Linked DNA regions of Arabidopsis thaliana. The protein of the gene in region 2 interacts with the protein of the main gene of each other region in a pairwise test. Each region holds a gene or a part of one and is shown on either strand. Other genes may lie near its edges.

Region 1 (5,601 bases), on a different chromosome or scaffold from region 2:
AACAACCAGCTGGTGAGTACAGAATCATCTGAATTTCAAACACATAAAGCCAGTTTCTTATCTTTTACTTTCAAGTTGTTTGACAATTGTGTGGGCAGGTTACTACTTTCTAAGCTTAAGAGTTTCAATTATGGATAGAATTGTCGATATGTTGTTTCCGTCTGCTGATTAGAAAGTTTGCAGGTTGGATGGGCGACATGTGGTATTCGGGAAGGTAGTGACAGGAATGGATGTGGTGTACAAAGTCGAAGCTGAAGGAAATCAGAGTGGAACTCCTAAGAGTAAAGTGGTGATTGTAGACAGTGGTGAGCTTCCCCTGTAACTCAACAACTCTAGTTTTCTCCATCTGATCATCCATTGATGTGAGCTCTAGTGTGCTTGATGACTTTTGTGTTAAAACGAGTGTCTTGGTTACTTTATGAAAGATTCTACCGGCTTTATTTCTTTCGTCTGCTTTCTAGCTCGAGCTATGTCTGACTTTATACACAAATGTCTTTCAGTAGCAAAAATTCTGCACTTATGCCGTTTTGCATTGTCAACATTTGTAGAATTTATAGAAGTTACACGATAATATATATATCAGTAAACTCCTAAAGAAGAGTTAGCGAAAAATATACATTCTGTCTGTGTCAGACAAAGTGTTTTCAGAACTTAAATAACGTGAAATACGGAAAGGAAAAAGAAGGAAGCTAAGTTTTGCCCAACATTTACTTAACAACAGAGAGCTAGCATCAGATATAGACAAAATCGACATAAATTTTAAGATCTAAAGCTAAAACCTGACTTTAGTTTTAGTTATCACTTATTCATCAGAGTCACTCTCTGTGTCTAAGAAACTGAACTCTCTACTACCTCCGTCAAGCTTGATCAGCAGTGTCCCTCTGTTCTCTTCACAATACCTAACTCCTTCTCTTTCTAGCAGCTTTACCACCTGATCATATCCATAAATAACAATCATATACCATGACTGCAATACTAAATTCTTGTCTCCGGTTTTGCTGTGAAAGGGCGTTGAAGAAACTTACTGATTGTTTCACCTTAGACTTCCCAAACCCAGAAGCTCCACATCCTGTGATCACTCGTAGAGTCTGAATGGCTGGATGATTTCACAATTGTTAGGAGGAAGGTATTATCTCGGGTTTTATGATGACAAGATCTGACTATGATGATCTACTAAAGAAGAAAAGACTTATAATTGAGTTTGCTAAGTACTCACAAGGAACATATGATCCAAATAAGAGATGTAGCTTCAGTAGCTTCATTGCTGGTTTAACATGCTGACCATGCAGATCAATGGTTACCACATTCTCTATACCTTTGTTTCTGCATAGTCATAAACAATGGCTTAGTCCACCACAAAATGTTTAAGCGCATCAGCATACTTTGATAATGCATCAAAACAGCTAACCTTGCAACGAATATATCTTGGCTTGCCCTCTCATCAGCCCGTTGAGCTTGTTTAGATGCCACTCTTCCCTAAAAGAAAAACAACACAAGTTTCTGTCATACTGTCAAACAAAATGCCATGATACCATGATATATGTAAACCGTGATATGCACCTTGTCAGAAAGGTAAGCCGCATGAGCCCTCCCTCCTTTCGAATATGCTTCGGCAGCCTTAAACCAATTAATAAATGCATTAGTTGAGGAGTCTACCAGAGCCAGATATATGGAAGCAAGTAAAACTAACTTTTTGATAGTAGGACTTCGTAACATTCCACTGGTCATTTGCACCTTTTCTAAGTTCATGATAACTGTCATCCTTCACTGCAACACACGTACTGATTGATTGGTAATGCAATTCATGAGTAAGAAAGATTGATTCAAGAGTTGCAACACAAACAAGCAGTCAAAACTTCAGATGTTTATGCCAATGACACCAAAGCAAAAATTGCCAAGTGTTTCATCAGGTAAAACAACATACATCAGAAGCTCGAAGCCGGCAAACTCATGGCAAATTGAGCATGCTATTTGCAGCTATATACGCAAATACTAAAATCAAGAAACCATAGTAAAGTACCAAACGTATTAGGGTGAGGCTCTTCCCCACTAGATGAAGAAGCATCAATGCCAAGTGACTGCATTTTCTTTGCCACATTCCTCCAACTCGTTGTCTTTGATTCATGTTTAGGATTCTGGCGAATGTTGAACAGAGACTCCAACACTTTTTGTGGAAGACCAAGCTCATCAATTCCTTGGGTAGTTGCAAAAGGATCTTGAGAACTCATGAGAGCTTTTGCGTAGTCCCTACCATTCAGACAAAGAAAAGAAAAAAAGGCCAGATATTTAGTTTTGACCTCGTCCACAATGTTGAAATTAAGAAATCATAATGTAAGTTTTGGCGGTCTCATGAGTAATTTAGATATCATGTGTTCATGAACTGAATCCTCCACCATGAAATAGTTCGTTTGTTGTTCTTTCATAGAAGAGGATAAGGACTAATTAAAAGATAAGGAGAGGTTGCAGAGAGCTCGTTATCTTGTAACTAACGTGTAAATCAACTCTGATAATTCCAAAATCAGTGAATTGCAATAACAAGATGAAAGCCTAAGAAGCAAATAGAAGTACCTTTGACTATAGTCTCCACCCCAGAAAAGTTCACAATCAGAAGTATCAGTATCAAAAGATGACTCTGCCAGCTGTTAAATAATGTCAGGAGATTGCACTTTATTTTATCGTGTAAGAAAACAAAATAAACAGATCTATGAAGATTAACAAAAAAAACAATCACTTACACTATCGCTGACTCCTATGCCGAAACATTTACCACTCAATGAATCATCAGTTGATGAAGAAGACATGTCAAGCAAGACATTCAAAGCCTAAGAAGAAAACGCTATTAAGCTTTAAAATAAATAGTCGGGCAAGTATCAGCATATTTCAGGAGCTTCCCTGTCAATATACTAAATACTTCCCCATGTAAGTTTGAAGACAATCTCTGCTTACCATGTCGACATCATAGCCACATTGACCTACAAAAAATAGATACTTCCATGTCAATTCATCGAACAATCTAGTCTCTCCTCATAACATTATTACGGCTATATTTCGAATATCGCGGACACATTAAAACGTAATCCTATAACTATTAAGGATCATACTTTTCTACTAACATCTTCTCCCATGGAAAAATTAACTGACTAAGAAGAAGAAATACTCACACAAAACATCTCTAACAACAGCCATGCTAAGCTCGCAATCATCTCCAAGCATTGAACTTAAGAACTGTTCAGCTTTCTCTCTATCCGCAGCTTTTTTCCCGTTCCCACAGAGCTCTTTAGACCGTTCCATCATAGGAAACTCTTTTCGCACAGGGTTTGGCTTCAAGTAATCCTTCGCAATCACAGAAGAAACCATCCCTGTAGCAGCAATAACTCTACTCTGCTTGCTTCCCTTAAACCATCTATCTCTAGTCAAATCTTCGCTACAGCTAGAACTTGACCCTGCCCCATACTCAGAGGTAGACGCTGTTTCCTGACCCGAAGAACCACTCGCCACCGAACTCGTCGACGGATCATCACCGCTTTCCACCAGATCCGATAAAATCTCAGCGGCTTTGTTCAGATCTCCGCCTGCTTCCTTATAAGCAGCCATCGCTTCCTCCATTGAAACCGAGCAAAAGGCTTCCATTAACGATTCGATAAAATTTTTTCCAACGTTTTCTATCTCCCTCTTTCCTTCACCGTCCTTCCTCTCTTCCTCCACATCTTTTTTGTTCCCGTCCGACGTCGTTCCATCACCGGAAGGTTTCGCGGCGCAGGATCGCTTCTTCTTCTTCTTATGCTGGTTCTTCTGCTTCATTATCGTACAATTATAGATGAAATCGTGTCAACGCCGCTTCAATAGAATCTCTTCCGATCTGCAGAAGAAACTTAAACCCAGATTTCCGACGAGAAGCGTCGGAGAGAGGGAAGAGGCGTTTTAACCGTAAATCAGGAGTTAGTAATGGAGATGCCAATATCAGAGGAAATTTTTTGCTCGTCCAGACTTTTGATTGGGAATCGGAATCGCCACGTCAATCCACGCGCCTGATCGTGACCACGTTTTAAATCCACGCGCACGAATCAAACACCGAACACGGTTTCCTCCTGATTGTACATATATTGAACCGGTTCAACTATGCACCAGTCAAAATTAGATCTCCCACGTTGACTTTCGTAATTTTATCTCAGATTTGTTTTTGGTTTTTATATTAACTAGATAATGTGGCAACATGCGAATAGCAAATCATCTTATCCAAAACTTTTAAAACAAAATTTGACATCTTCATTTCGAATTTTGAAACGCGGAGTTGATAAACAAACTTTGCGGGAACGACCAGAAAGAGCGTTTGAAGACGCTGGTCAACGCGTTTTATACATTAAAATTTCCAAAATTCATCAACGTGTTGAAGCAAGCTTACACAACTCAGAAGAGCTTTGTTAGTAAAAAAAAGGTGATTCAAGATTCGTATTCACAGGGACCGATCATCACAAGAGTGACCATTGACCAATAACTTTGGTTGAAGTTGAGAGTCTACGCATGAAAACCGAGCTGGACTTAGACGCTCATGGAACTCGTTGTGATCGTTGTTATGGCTGCTAGATATGTTACACTGCTTCTTCCTTCTCTGTACCTCATCCTTGACTTTCTGCAAATCACAAAGACATATGTCACATAGAAATAACCGATGAAAGGGATGAATCCTTGTGCAGTGCAAACACAAACGCTATAAATCTTCTAATTTGCTTAATGTTCACTTGCACTAGCCAATGGTTCAATTATTATCCAATAACGCCCTCATTTCAACAGATACAACTACAAGAGATACACAGAAACACTCGCAAATACATCAAGAGATCCATACTTTTGAATTCTCTAATTGCTTAACCACATTGTTCGGTGAATGCTTAAACAACACTTTTTCCTGCATCTACCCTATGTTGAATGAAACTGCTCCTAGATTAACAATGAAGTAAAACAAGAAAAGACTCTCTCAGCAGCTGTGACTCGACAGAATCTCAAACAACAACTGTGAAGATTTGACACATTTTCAGATTGGAAACCTATCAACATCAAATACAGATTCTAGTTCACCCGCAAGATATAGGTTTGGCTGTATTGAAAGTAAGCTGCAAGATGTAACAGAGTTCTTTTGCTAGGATTATGTTAAAGACATTTGCATATCACTATCATCGGCTCTAAAAGTTCTTACTACTGTCTATTAGATTTGCAAATCTCTCACAGCATGCAATTCAGTAAGCTAATACGAGACCAAAAAACAAACCTGAAGCATCATCAAATCGAACTTTGGCTGACCAATATGCTCTACAGTGATGGAACCAAAGAGGTTCCCTAACAATGCAGCATCAGGAACAGTCAAACCTTCAACAAGCCCAACAATCAAACCTCCGAGAAAGCTGTCTCCGGCACCGGTAGGATCCACCTGCTTCGCCAAGAACGGAGGAACCGTCATTTCATCATCCTTATGATAAATCCTACACCCTTTTTCACCATTAGTCACCACCACACAACACAAGTGCTTCATTTGTTCAACATCCATGAAAAGAGCTTCGTCTGACGAAGCTTTCAAGAATCCAATTCGATGCAAGATGTGATAAA
Region 2 (7,054 bases):
GTCCATTATTTCATAAGCTCAAAGCCGGGTCACTGTGCGAACGGGCTTAAGCTTTGAGTAGTGGTTTCACCAATACTCAGTGTTCCAAAGTTGTCACAAGGTGGTAAGTGGTAACACACTTTCAGACCCCATCATCAAAAGCATAATGCTACCTTGGTCCTTGGTTTTCGATTTGGTTTGAGATCCAATGAAGGAGTTTGTCTACTAATTTACGTACTAGTTTAGTACCTTGTCTCTTTTCTTTCATTGTTAATTTGTTTAGAATATTTTTAGTTCTTATTGTCACTAATGTACATAATTAATTCAATAGAGACGAATATTTTCTTCTTAGTTTATAATTTACTTTGATCATCATCATCATATGTCTCCATGAGGCATTAACTTGACCTTTTTTTATAATCAATTTAGCGGATACTAATAATAGTAAATGATATTAACGTTAGTTTACCTATTCAACTAAAAGACAGAAGAGATTCTTGTTTTAGCAAAGTGAACAGAGTTTCAGACAGCATTTTAGATGTGTTCAGAAGAGGCTAGCTTGAAGTTATCATCTCCCTTGTGTTTTATGTAATGGAACCTCCCATGGAGGAGCATTCTAAATTAGCATCAACTTCATCATTCTCCATAGTTACAATAAAGCATGCTTTACAAAAGGATTGTGAAAGTATCGCTTTAATGTTTTGTGGGAGAACTTTCTAAGCTTGGCTTGAACTTACTCTATTTTATGTACCCAATACAAAGAAACGAGTAAGAAAAAAGATGCATAAAATATCATCATGGCACTGCTTCCAGTTTTTCCCACAACCTGAAAGCTCTTCTGATGACTGGATCAGCTGAAAATCCTTCTGCGTAATCCGCAATCGCGATTAACAGGCTACTCAATTTCTCACCATTGTCCTGTACATTTCACAAATTATCCTCTGTTACTAATCTTTCTGTTTTCAGTTAGTCTATTGTAGTAGATGTATATCGTCATACAAATACAAACCTCTGGTTTCTTAAAAGTAAGATCTTTCGTGTCGAACGGTACTATGTAATCTGGGAGATCAGACCGTAACAGTGCCTGCCATTAACACAATTCATCATCCCTACCTTGTGAACTTAACAACTGAATAAATGAATGAAAGTATGAAAGAAAAACAGGAAAACCTACCAATTTCTTGCTAAGAATGGCTTGATCCGCACTAGCTATTAGAGACTGTTGCAAAGACAAGGAAGATTATAATATTAGGCCTTGCATATCACAGAAGCACTAGCTTGCCTAACCTCTGCAACACTTGTTCACTCACCTCCTTTATTTTTCCTTCTTTGATCTCATCCACAGACTGCAACAGATTCTCCAACGTGCCTGATAATGCAATAAAAGTGAGTAATAGGAAACATGGGGCGCAAATCAATGAAATCAAAGAATATAGCATGACTCAGTGAATACCAAATCTAGATATCAGTTCCACTGCGTGCACATTCCCAATACCATCAACTCCTGCATCACACAAACATCATTAGATCACTTTAGCCCTTTCCTGTGTGCACTTTGGCTAAACGTTTGTATGTAGATTGTGCACTTTTGCTCAACTTTTCTGTGATACACAAAATGCGGCTATGAAAGGAATATCCCCAGAAATTAACAATTTCGTGAGGGGTAGAGGAAGTGGGCTTAACCTGGAATATTATCAGACTTGTCTCCAGCAAGGGCGATGATATCAACAAATTGTGCTGGTTCCAAATTTCCAAACTTTTTAGCAAAATCTTCCATTCCAAAAGAAGCCATCCTGCCACAAGAAGCAGTAGCCTTGACACAACTGAGTGGAAAAAACATACAGGATACAAAGAGCAACTATGGTTTCATAATACGCAAAATTCTACAATGAGGCAATTATCCATCTAACATGAATTTCATACTCTGATCCGCGTGGTGTTAGTCGAAGAAGACGCAACGAGGGAGAAAGAATCTGAAAGAAGTCTTTGTCTGGAGAGACAACTCGGACCTGTAAAGGGGTAACAAACAAATGATCAGTCCACTTCTAGGAAAAGGACAAATTGAACAGACCCTGAGCATTCAATAAGTAGTGAACACTTCTCGAATAGCTGAAAATGAGTACTTTGAAACCGGCACTAATGCTTCGCATAGCCAGTGTTCCAATAACATCATCAGCTTCTACACCTGGCACCTGTCTTCATGGAATGTCTGCCCATTAGTGAGAAATCATCACAATGAAAGGAAATATGGCAATCATGTGCATGATTTACCTCTATAACTTTTATAGACATTGCCTTGATGGACGCTTTGAGATATTGAAGTCCTTGTACTATGGTATCAGGTGTGGGAGGACGATTACTTTTATATGCTGGGTAGAGAGTATGACGGAAGTTCATGCCTGTAAAAATTTAAACATGAACAAAGATAGGTTTGATACTGATGCATAAAAATAATCCTTCACACTCTGCGCAAAGACAAGGGAGAATCATGTCGAGGTTTAGAGTGCCAAAAAGCCTAAAATTTACAGTTTGAGCAGCCAAGTGAACCCATCACGTAGAAAGAAGAGAGTATTGGATATGCATATCTATGTCAGTATGTACAGAACGGAAACAACAAAAGACATCAAGCATACTGGACCTACGTTCATCATTGGATATGACCTAAGTTTATTTTACAAATAGCCAAAGACCGCCATGGAAGCGCATATGACCGACCCTCTGTTATCTACACCAAAGTTTATGACTGCCCAAAAGCGGCAAGCAAAACACCCAAAGGAAGACAAAGTTGGCATTTCACTTCAAATATCATCCTTGGCAAGTAAGCCATAATTTCCGGAATAATTTCTCCTAGGCACACAGCAGAAAATCAGTTCAAACTGCAAGTTTATATATTTAGAAGCAATATACTGAAGGCTTGTATAGCAATTGGAGATCATCGGCGATGATATTACATACATCACCATCGAGTCAGCATACTAACTAAACTCTCATGCAAAAATGACCACTTCTTATACTGTCAATTAAATTACTTTAGTTTGACTAAGGACATGGAGCTTACCTTTTGCAGAACGATAACCTGTAGATGAATTAGAAGTAGTGCCATAAGGAACTCCTGAAAAAGGCTCTATTTTGTTAAAAAAGAGTAACTAGAGACGTATAGGTCCAGAAAGCATTTAATCTTCTTGCCTCACATATGACATAACCATGATTACTACATGATATTTGTCAGATTACCACTATTATGCATTACTAGAAGCTTTTCTAGATAACTTAGTGGAATATTCCATAAATAGTACAGTAATGATTATCAAGATTAAGTAATCAATTTTGGTCAATATATCACCATCTAGATCTCCACCTGCTTACTCTTAGGCCTATCGAATAAATGTTCTCAGTAGTGGCCAGAAGTTGAAATCTGAAACTTTTATCCATTCACTATGATACAAATGAAGTTGAAAACATCAACACTCAACATAATCTAAGTTTTCGGGCAACAACATTCAACAAGCTGAAGACAATTATTTATCTATTCATCTGAAAGAGGATGATGAAAATCAAAATTATAGATGACTAGAGGAGCAATTAGCATCAATTGATAAGGGGAAATCATACACATACTTGAGTAATTAAAATCAGGAAGTATAGAGGCCATAACTATAGAGTTTGAAATAAGGGCTTATATCAATGAATTAGTTTAAATCATCTGAGAGGCACACTCAAAGTGGTTAACTATAGACACTAAAAGTCCCCAAAAACCTGAATTCTTCCTACATCACCACATGAAGTAGATAGACGTCCATGAATTTAACCAATTATAGAAGACTATTACATTAGGACTCACCATCATGGTCGAACACCACCTGCATGGACACAGTTAATTAAGTCAGTAGGGGCTATCCAACATTAAGAAAACTACAAGAACTTCATTCGATCATCACAGATATAAAGAAATGCGATGTTAAATGGATAATGGAATTTACCGCCACATGGGATGGGAGAAATTTCAAAACATCAATCAGCTGAAAATGAGAACACAATGAAACAAGGTAAGAAGTCGAATGCGAAAGTTATAACAAGAAAGATAAACTTTAGCCTTAAGGAAACATAATTATACGCAACCATGATTACTTGGTCAGCCATCGTTAATGCTACAAGAAGCTTTTCTCAACCATCAGATTTAAGTACAGTAAAAATGAACATCTGGAGAACAATACTCAAGATATCACTTACAAGAGAAAGAGATGAAAATATTGTTAAAACCCAGTCCGCATTTCCATCAGCATGAGCCAGATGACCATGATTCAACCTTGCTGCACATGCCCAATCAAATGTCAATAAGTGTGAGATCGGGAGGAAAAAAAATTAACATTTGATGTACACATGAGTAGCAGAATTACCTAAAAGCTTATAATAAGCCCTGTATATAATCGATGTCCCATCAATAAGCATCACTCTGCCATTTGAAGAAGCAGCAGTACTAGCTACTCTTTCTTCTGACTTGAAAGGATATTTTATCGACTGTGGCGTAACATCTTCACTTATAGAAGTCAATGTGCTGCCACTAGCTGCTTCATTTGAGAATTCAGAAACAGCTACGGAACTGCAATAGTACTGTGTACCACAAATGTTTATATCAACATTAGAACGAAATAATAAGTATCCTTCAGAGATCAATTTTGAGTTTATAGTAAACAGAAATGTCGCGAAAGAAACATTCAATTGATTCAGAAAATCTGTATATCAAACTAATCAGAGCCATGATTCAGATGTAGACTACATAACAAGAGTAAAAACCACATCTAAATAGCTCAGAATTGAACGATACAAGTACAAGTATCACCTTCGCAGAGCGTGCAAGGGAAGGAGAGATGAGAGAACAGTTCCGATTACACAAGTTTCCAACACTCCGAGGAAAACAGAGATTCCTCCATAGAAAACGGGAGTGATGATACAGATGCAGCGTCATGACGTCACTGAAAGTACTGTCATGAAGAAGAAGAGCGTTTAACCTTAGCGGAGGAAACACATTCACCATGAATCAAAACCAAAAATCGAAGAAGCGAGCGAGAATCCGAAAGCAATCGAAGAAAGGATTTTGAAAGAACCTTCCAAAAATGAGAAAGGGTTTTTACAAGGACGACGAAGAAGGAGGATTTTACCGCTTTCTGCGTATCCGTGTCTTCCTCGGAACAAAATCTTCTGCCTCCCAAAAATTTAGCAGAGTTGAATTTAGAAAACTCCAAATTGGGCCCAATAATTAATCAGCCCATATAAATAAAGGCCTTAAGAGCCCATTATATAGGCTTTTGATTGTTGTTCTTCTTCTTCTTCTATTACAACAAAAACCCTTCGACAGAAGAGAAAACCCTAGCTAGAAACGACGATCCAAAGATGACGCAGAAGAGCAATCAGTTCAAGGGCCAACAGAAGAGGAAGACTATTGCTCCTAATCGCCATGGCAAATCCATTCAAACTCGCAAAGGTATTCACTTTTTTTTTACTTCACACAAATCCCTTTCGATTTTGATTTCTCAGATTTTATCATCTTCTTGTTCCAGGGAAGAGAAATGTGAAACCAACAAAGATGACGAAAGAGATGGACACTGATCGGGTAATTTCTATATTCTTCAATCTCCCTAAATTCTGAATCGATTGGATCTTTAATTGTGAGTTATTGGTTGGTGTTGTGTGGAGCAGGAGCTTACGAAATTCATAAACCATTGCAATGAAGTGAAAGCAACTAATGCAGCTTGTAAAGAAGGTGGTCAACTCAATATCATCAAAGCTGAATCTCAACCTGAGCCATCCAAGAAATCCGCCAAATAGACAACAAACCCTTCTTTTTTTGTTTCCAGTGTTTCAACTTTTGTAGCTCTTACACAATCCAATCGGTTTTGTCTTTAAATCAATCATTTATAATGCTATTGTTACCAATTTCGTCACTTACAAACAAGTTTATTGTTACTTTACGAGAGATTGAACTTCCATACACTTATGCATTTACCATTGTGAGCCGTTACCATCTTCTTCATCCCCATTGCTATGCAACTGATTTGAGGCCGAACTTTCCTTTCGATTTTATCAATCTCCATGTCTTGAGAAACTCTTTTTCCTCTTCTTTTCTCTATCACCACTTGGTTGTTCCTTGTTGATGTTGTGGAGAATTTATCGTCCATTATAACTCTAGATAAAACCCTTCCACTCTTCTGATCAATCATACGCAGCACACCGTCTATTCCACCAGCTACCATAACCGATGTGTCATTCCTTAGCTGTTGTATTGAGTACACGACATTAGGACTCACTCGTTTTTCCCACAATCTATCCATTTTCCTGTTAGATAATAGTTGGTTATAACGTCTTAAGATAGTGAATTAAAACTTGCATCTTTGAAAAAAACCTTAGACGACTATTTTAACATACCTGAGGTCCCAGCATGAAACATATCCACCAGTTGTTCCAATGAAGGCGAGATTAGTGCCTTGGTTAAAACAGATTGTCTGTATACCTGTAGAGAATGGAGGTTGCTTTAAGAAATGTCACTGGAGATGCAATCTGACATTGAGTTTGAGTTTACCTCCTGCAGTTATCGTGGATTTAAGAGTGGCCACTGGTTGATCCATCAAAGGGTCAGATACTGTTACTCTCCCGAGTGACGACCCACTAAGAAATAGTTGATTATCGCTTAGAGATAAGCATGTTATTGGCCCACCCTGAGTCCTGCAATTACATACATAGTTATTAACCAATCTGATAGGAAAATTGTGATTTAGCTTTCTCAAAAGAAATTGTAAACAATTTTGATAATGAAAAACCGTTCTTTTCCAGTTTCACTGTGTTGTTCCATAACACAACAGACACATAATACATAGCTTACCTAATGATCTGTGAACATGTCTTACTGTACATATCAAATACACGAGCTGTTCCATCCTCGCATCCAACTACAGCTTCTGGGTCAATGTAACTGGTTGAAAAAGAAAACATACAACTTATCAGTGTGGATAGAGAAGCCAACAACCTTACAGGGGCAGAGGGGCTAGGTAGCCATGTTGAAGTATCACACCGACTTTTG
Region 3 (4,321 bases), on a different chromosome or scaffold from region 2:
AGCCGCACTTGATGTAAAACAGTTTTTTTCCGAATAATTTTACATAATATTCAAAAAACAAAAGAATAAGAAGATTAGCAAAACAAACGAAATTCTTTTGATAAACGAATCATTGATGGACTATACCATTAATAGTCAAGCTTTCCAATTAATGACATTTGAAAAGCTGATATTTGCAGAACCGATTGGTTTATATTTTATTTTTTTTGAATTTAGTGTTAAGTTATATTCAAAGAAAAAATAAACGTTTATACATGTGAATGCAAAATTTTCTTAGCATATAGAATAAAGTTTTATATCCTTGGTGTTATATCGATGCGAACCACACTTGGAATCCTTCCACATATTTCTCTACCTTCCCTTTTACACTAGCCATGATTAAATTATCTCGATTTAAATGTCAATTCCTACACAATCATCTAGTTTTCAAAGTGCTAATAATTTACTAATGATCATTTTGATAATAGTATATACCATACTACTTTTTTTATTTATATCCAAAGTTCTCATAAGAAAACTAAAGTTTTTGAGTTTGACATTCGTGGCTCGTGGACTACTAGACGGTTGAGCTGAAGGTAAGAATGTGTTGTACTGGTTGCGTCAGGATCGTTAGGAACGCGATCTCCAAACTCCGAGGTAACAACTAATTGCTTTGCTTTAAAATTTAAAGACAAGATTAGTGTAATGAACGAAAAAAGAGACTAGATGTAATGAATTTGATTAAATTTTAGGAGTTGACTCAGTGGAGGTGGATAAAGAGTTAGGAAGAGTGAGAGTGGTGGGTTATGTTGACAGAAACAAAGTACTCAAAGCCGTGAGGCGAGCGGGGAAGAGAGCTGAGTTTTCGCCATACCCTGAACCTCCACTTTACTTCACATCTACTCAAAACTATTTCGTAGATCCTTCGAAAGAGTTTAAAGAGAGCTATAACTATTATAGACATGGCTACAATGGTACAGAACAACATGGTAATATCCCCGTAGGTTCTCGTGGAGACGACAGGGTTAGTAATATGTTCAATGACGATAACGTTAATGCATGCCGTCTCATGTAAACTACATACGTAATGACTTAAAACTTGTGGAGAAGTAAACTGTAATTATTATCATATTGTACTAGTAATACTATAAAAGAATAAGAGAAGTCCAGTGTTCCCTACTTGTATTAGAAACGTCATTTTATAGTGGTTAAATGTCATATTGCTTATATTTATCTTTAATTCACTTTTGCAAATGTCATTTCATGGTTGTTGTTTTTCAGTTTTTAATATGTTTTTTTTTGTGCAACACTAATATGTTTTTGTTCTATATATCGTTTTCGATGTGTAATGAGTTTGATCTCCATTTAAGTTAATTATTTATTTGTATTTTCTGAATTTTTAGTTCCCTCAAATGTGTTTTGCAATAATATTATGTAAGATATGAAATTTTTGGTCTCTCATGAAACATTTTATGAAGACTTTCAATTTTAATTTTGAGTACAATATCTTTTTAAAGTAAAACGTTTTCGGGTTAGTCTAATTATTGAATCAATTTTCTTGAAAGAAAGTAAGTAAGTCATCAGCTTGATAGAAATTATTTGTATTGACTTAAAGATGTTTAATTAGTTTATTTTTATCATTGGTGACCGATCATTATCTTTATACTATTTTATTCGGTTATAGTAAAAAATAAATAATCACTTCATTATTATTGTAATATTGTTAAACTTAATATTTTAGTTTGAACAAAAAGAAATGATTTTATATTTTTGTTAAATATGGTATAATTAGTTTTACTTTTATAAAACTACATAAGTTACATTAAATAAATTATAATCAATCAAGCAATGGTCGAATCCGGTTGAACCGAAATGTAGTCCGGTTTACTGTCGGAGTTTGGTTTAGAAAACATTGGTAATCACTAATCACAGATAGCACAGTGAAAAGGGTAGGACAAGGTTGATGAAGCTCGTCGTCTCTGCAAAATCCCTTCCCTTCTTTCTTTCTATCCACAAACAAAATTTCGAATCCATAGAGAAGAAAACATGAAGCAATGTGATCGTAGTAGTCTATCTCCTTTTCCTATAAGTTCTTCTTCCTTATCTTCTTCTTTCGTTGCTTCTGAATCTGATCCTGAAGATTCTTTATGGAGTGATTTCACTTTCGATTTCTCATTCTTAACATCCGAAGACCACAAGATTAGTCCCAATGATGATAATGATGCGACCACTGTTCCTAAAGGTTTTTTTTTTTTTTTGTCTTTCTTGAAATGTTATGGTTTTGTTCTTGTTATGTGTTGTGTAAGAGTTTCTTGAATCCCTTAGGAGAGAATTTACTGTAATGTGCTCTTCTATGACACTTGTGAATGATTTATTTGGACTTGTGTAGGGAAAGAATTGAATCCTTTGGCACCTCAGTTTCTACCATTCAATGCTAAGAAGAACCTAAACAAGAATGGGAGAGAAATTGAAGTAAACAGTTCCAACCAAAACACTAGAATAGGCGTCCTGATCCATGATGCAGATGAGAGTTTGGGTTTAGTATCTCAAGATAGTGTTTCCAACACTATGAGTATGTTAGATATTAGCAACGAGTTCCAAAAGTCTAAAAAGCTGGATCCGTTAGCTCCTGTTTTTGTTCCTGCTTGTGCAAAACTAAGTGAGAAGCACGGTGCAGCAGATCACATGTTAACTATGGAGACAAATGTTGGCTCAACTTCTGGTGTAAGTTCTTCAGACAGTATGTTGCTTAATACTTTTAAGGTTGTTGGGACACATTCTTTAGTGGTCGACCGCAGTTTAAGGAATAGATACTCTAATACAAGATTGGATAGGTCCAGCAACAAGTCTCATGGTCGGAAGAAGCTAAATCCTCTGGCTCCTCGGTTCTCACTAGCAGATCATAAACAAAATGTATATGGCTGTGAGGTAAACCAAGCTGCAAATGACTTTGGTGATAGACATGGCTGTTCCACATCATCACCATCTCAAAAAGTGGATGTTAAGAAACTACTTACGACGATTCATGGATTGTCAGAGTTGCTAACACATGTACACAGTTCAGAAACTTCGGATTTACCAAATGAGCAGTATCTTGATCTCATCAACTGTACTGTGCAGAATCTCAACTCCTATATCAATAACAGAGTTCAGGAGCATAGTGGGGATTATGCAAGTGCTGTACATAGTTCATGTGATTTATATTCGTTGCCTAATATGCGTAAGGTATGTTCTCTTGACTACTTTTAAGGATCATCGAAGCATTCTTGTTCGGTTTTAAAGCCTGTAGACCATCGTTATCACAATGTGCAGGTTATAAGAAATCATCATCAAACAGAAGAGCAAATCAACCCAGAGGTGTGTTTTTATAAAAGCTTATGGCTCAAGGCTAAGGCAGAGAGATCGTTGATGGAACATGAAACATTTCTTTCAAAAGCAAGATCTTGAGCAATTAGTGAAGAGTTATATAAGGTGACATCAGATCATCCTAACTTTTTTACTTCATAGCAACAATGTCAAAGATTGATTTCTCTTTCTATGAGGTCCTATTGAGCGTTTGCTTTCGATTTTGCAGGTTAGCGTGTAGAAATTCAAGCGGCTGAATCGAGGCGGTGTTACTAGCTAGAGAAGTTTTGCTAGCAAATGTATGTGTAGGTCGAAAAGAGGGACACTCATGTCAATTCTAGACAAAGACTTGAATCTGTATTTTGTGTTGTAGAAACTTGAAATACTTTATACACAAATCTAGCTTTGTTTCTTGAACCAAATTTGTATTTTGAAGCTACATTTCAATGAATATATGTAAAGAGATTACTCATCAATCTTTCTTGCTAAAGAGTTAACAACACTAGACATAAACGTCTCAAATTATAGATGTGAAGCAACATTGTTTATGGCTCAGAGAAAGGTAAAAAGAAATAGCCTCAAAAAAGTGGAGAAACAGAGATGTTCGAGAAAATTGCTAACCGAATCAGAAATGAAGCAACAAAGACGAACCATCACAAGTCTTTTGCAACTCACTAAAACCTATGTAGTGAGTTCCATAATGGCGGAAACAATATCTCCGTTACTCTCTTTAAGAGCCTTAACAGCCTTGGGCCTCGAGACACCGGCTTGAGTCATCACAAGATCAATGTCCTTGGCTTCAACACCAGTCTCATCAACATCTTCATCGTCTTCCTCCTCTTGTGCAACCGTGGCTGCTTCAGAACCATCAGTGTTGGGGATCATAGACGCAACGTCAGGCATCTTGAACCTCTGAGCAGCTTGTGCTTGTAGCTGAGAGCTCATGTCATCAATCTTAGCCTCACCGAATATCACATAGGTCTCAGAGTTCGGACTC

Evidence for each region.
Region 1: the proteins of AT3G52050 (region 2) and AT5G58720 interact in a two-hybrid assay, tested with the Arabidopsis thaliana proteins (one large-scale study listed by BioGRID).
Region 3: the proteins of AT3G52050 (region 2) and AT4G10470 interact in a two-hybrid assay, tested with the Arabidopsis thaliana proteins (one large-scale study listed by BioGRID).

The regions. Positions count from the first base shown.
Region 1 is NC_003076.8:23,719,174-23,724,774, forward strand, and holds AT5G58720 (smr (Small MutS Related) domain-containing protein), read right to left. Parts: upstream 4,003-5,601; 5' UTR 3,802-4,002; coding exon 3,162-3,801; intron 2,973-3,161; coding exon 2,947-2,972; intron 2,823-2,946; coding exon 2,736-2,822; intron 2,640-2,735; coding exon 2,569-2,639; intron 2,248-2,568; coding exon 2,021-2,247; intron 1,768-2,020; coding exon 1,691-1,767; intron 1,618-1,690; coding exon 1,561-1,617; intron 1,477-1,560; coding exon 1,409-1,476; intron 1,324-1,408; coding exon 1,217-1,323; coding exon of another isoform or gene 1,161-1,216; exon of another isoform or gene 1,097-1,160; coding exon 1,026-1,096; coding exon of another isoform or gene 936-1,025; exon of another isoform or gene 932-935; coding exon 803-931; 3' UTR 522-802; downstream 1-521. Other genes in the region: ROC7 (rotamase CYP 7), read left to right, coding at 1-12, 184-322; Mik (pfkB-like carbohydrate kinase family protein), read right to left, coding at 4,454-4,630, 5,267-5,601.
Region 2 is NC_003074.8:19,303,119-19,310,172, reverse strand, and holds AT3G52050 (5'-3' exonuclease family protein), read right to left. Parts: upstream 5,288-7,054; 5' UTR 5,015-5,287; coding exon 4,820-5,014; intron 4,591-4,819; coding exon 4,377-4,590; intron 4,290-4,376; coding exon 4,210-4,289; intron 3,999-4,209; coding exon 3,960-3,998; intron 3,840-3,959; coding exon 3,821-3,839; intron 3,092-3,820; coding exon 3,038-3,091; intron 2,379-3,037; coding exon 2,251-2,378; intron 2,172-2,250; coding exon 2,103-2,171; intron 1,989-2,102; coding exon 1,903-1,988; intron 1,773-1,902; coding exon 1,663-1,772; intron 1,484-1,662; coding exon 1,433-1,483; intron 1,349-1,432; coding exon 1,290-1,348; coding exon of another isoform or gene 1,242-1,289; exon of another isoform or gene 1,199-1,241; coding exon 1,154-1,198; intron 1,064-1,153; coding exon 989-1,063; intron 898-988; coding exon 775-897; 3' UTR 522-774; downstream 1-521. Other genes in the region: AT3G52040 (2,3-bisphosphoglycerate-dependent phosphoglycerate mutase), read left to right, coding at 5,371-5,461, 5,538-5,590, 5,677-5,805; AT3G52030 (F-box family protein with WD40/YVTN repeat doamin), read right to left, coding at 5,946-6,312, 6,403-6,487, 6,557-6,699, 6,857-6,946.
Region 3 is NC_003075.7:6,474,084-6,478,404, forward strand, and holds AT4G10470 (uncharacterized protein), read left to right. Parts: upstream 1-1,900; 5' UTR 1,901-2,025; coding exon 2,026-2,221; intron 2,222-2,368; coding exon 2,369-3,204; intron 3,205-3,291; coding exon 3,292-3,426; 3' UTR 3,427-3,450; intron 3,451-3,553; 3' UTR 3,554-3,800; downstream 3,801-4,321. Other genes in the region: AT4G10465 (Heavy metal transport/detoxification superfamily protein), read left to right, coding at 561-636, 732-1,054; AT4G10480 (Nascent polypeptide-associated complex (NAC), alpha subunit family protein), read right to left, coding at 4,006-4,321.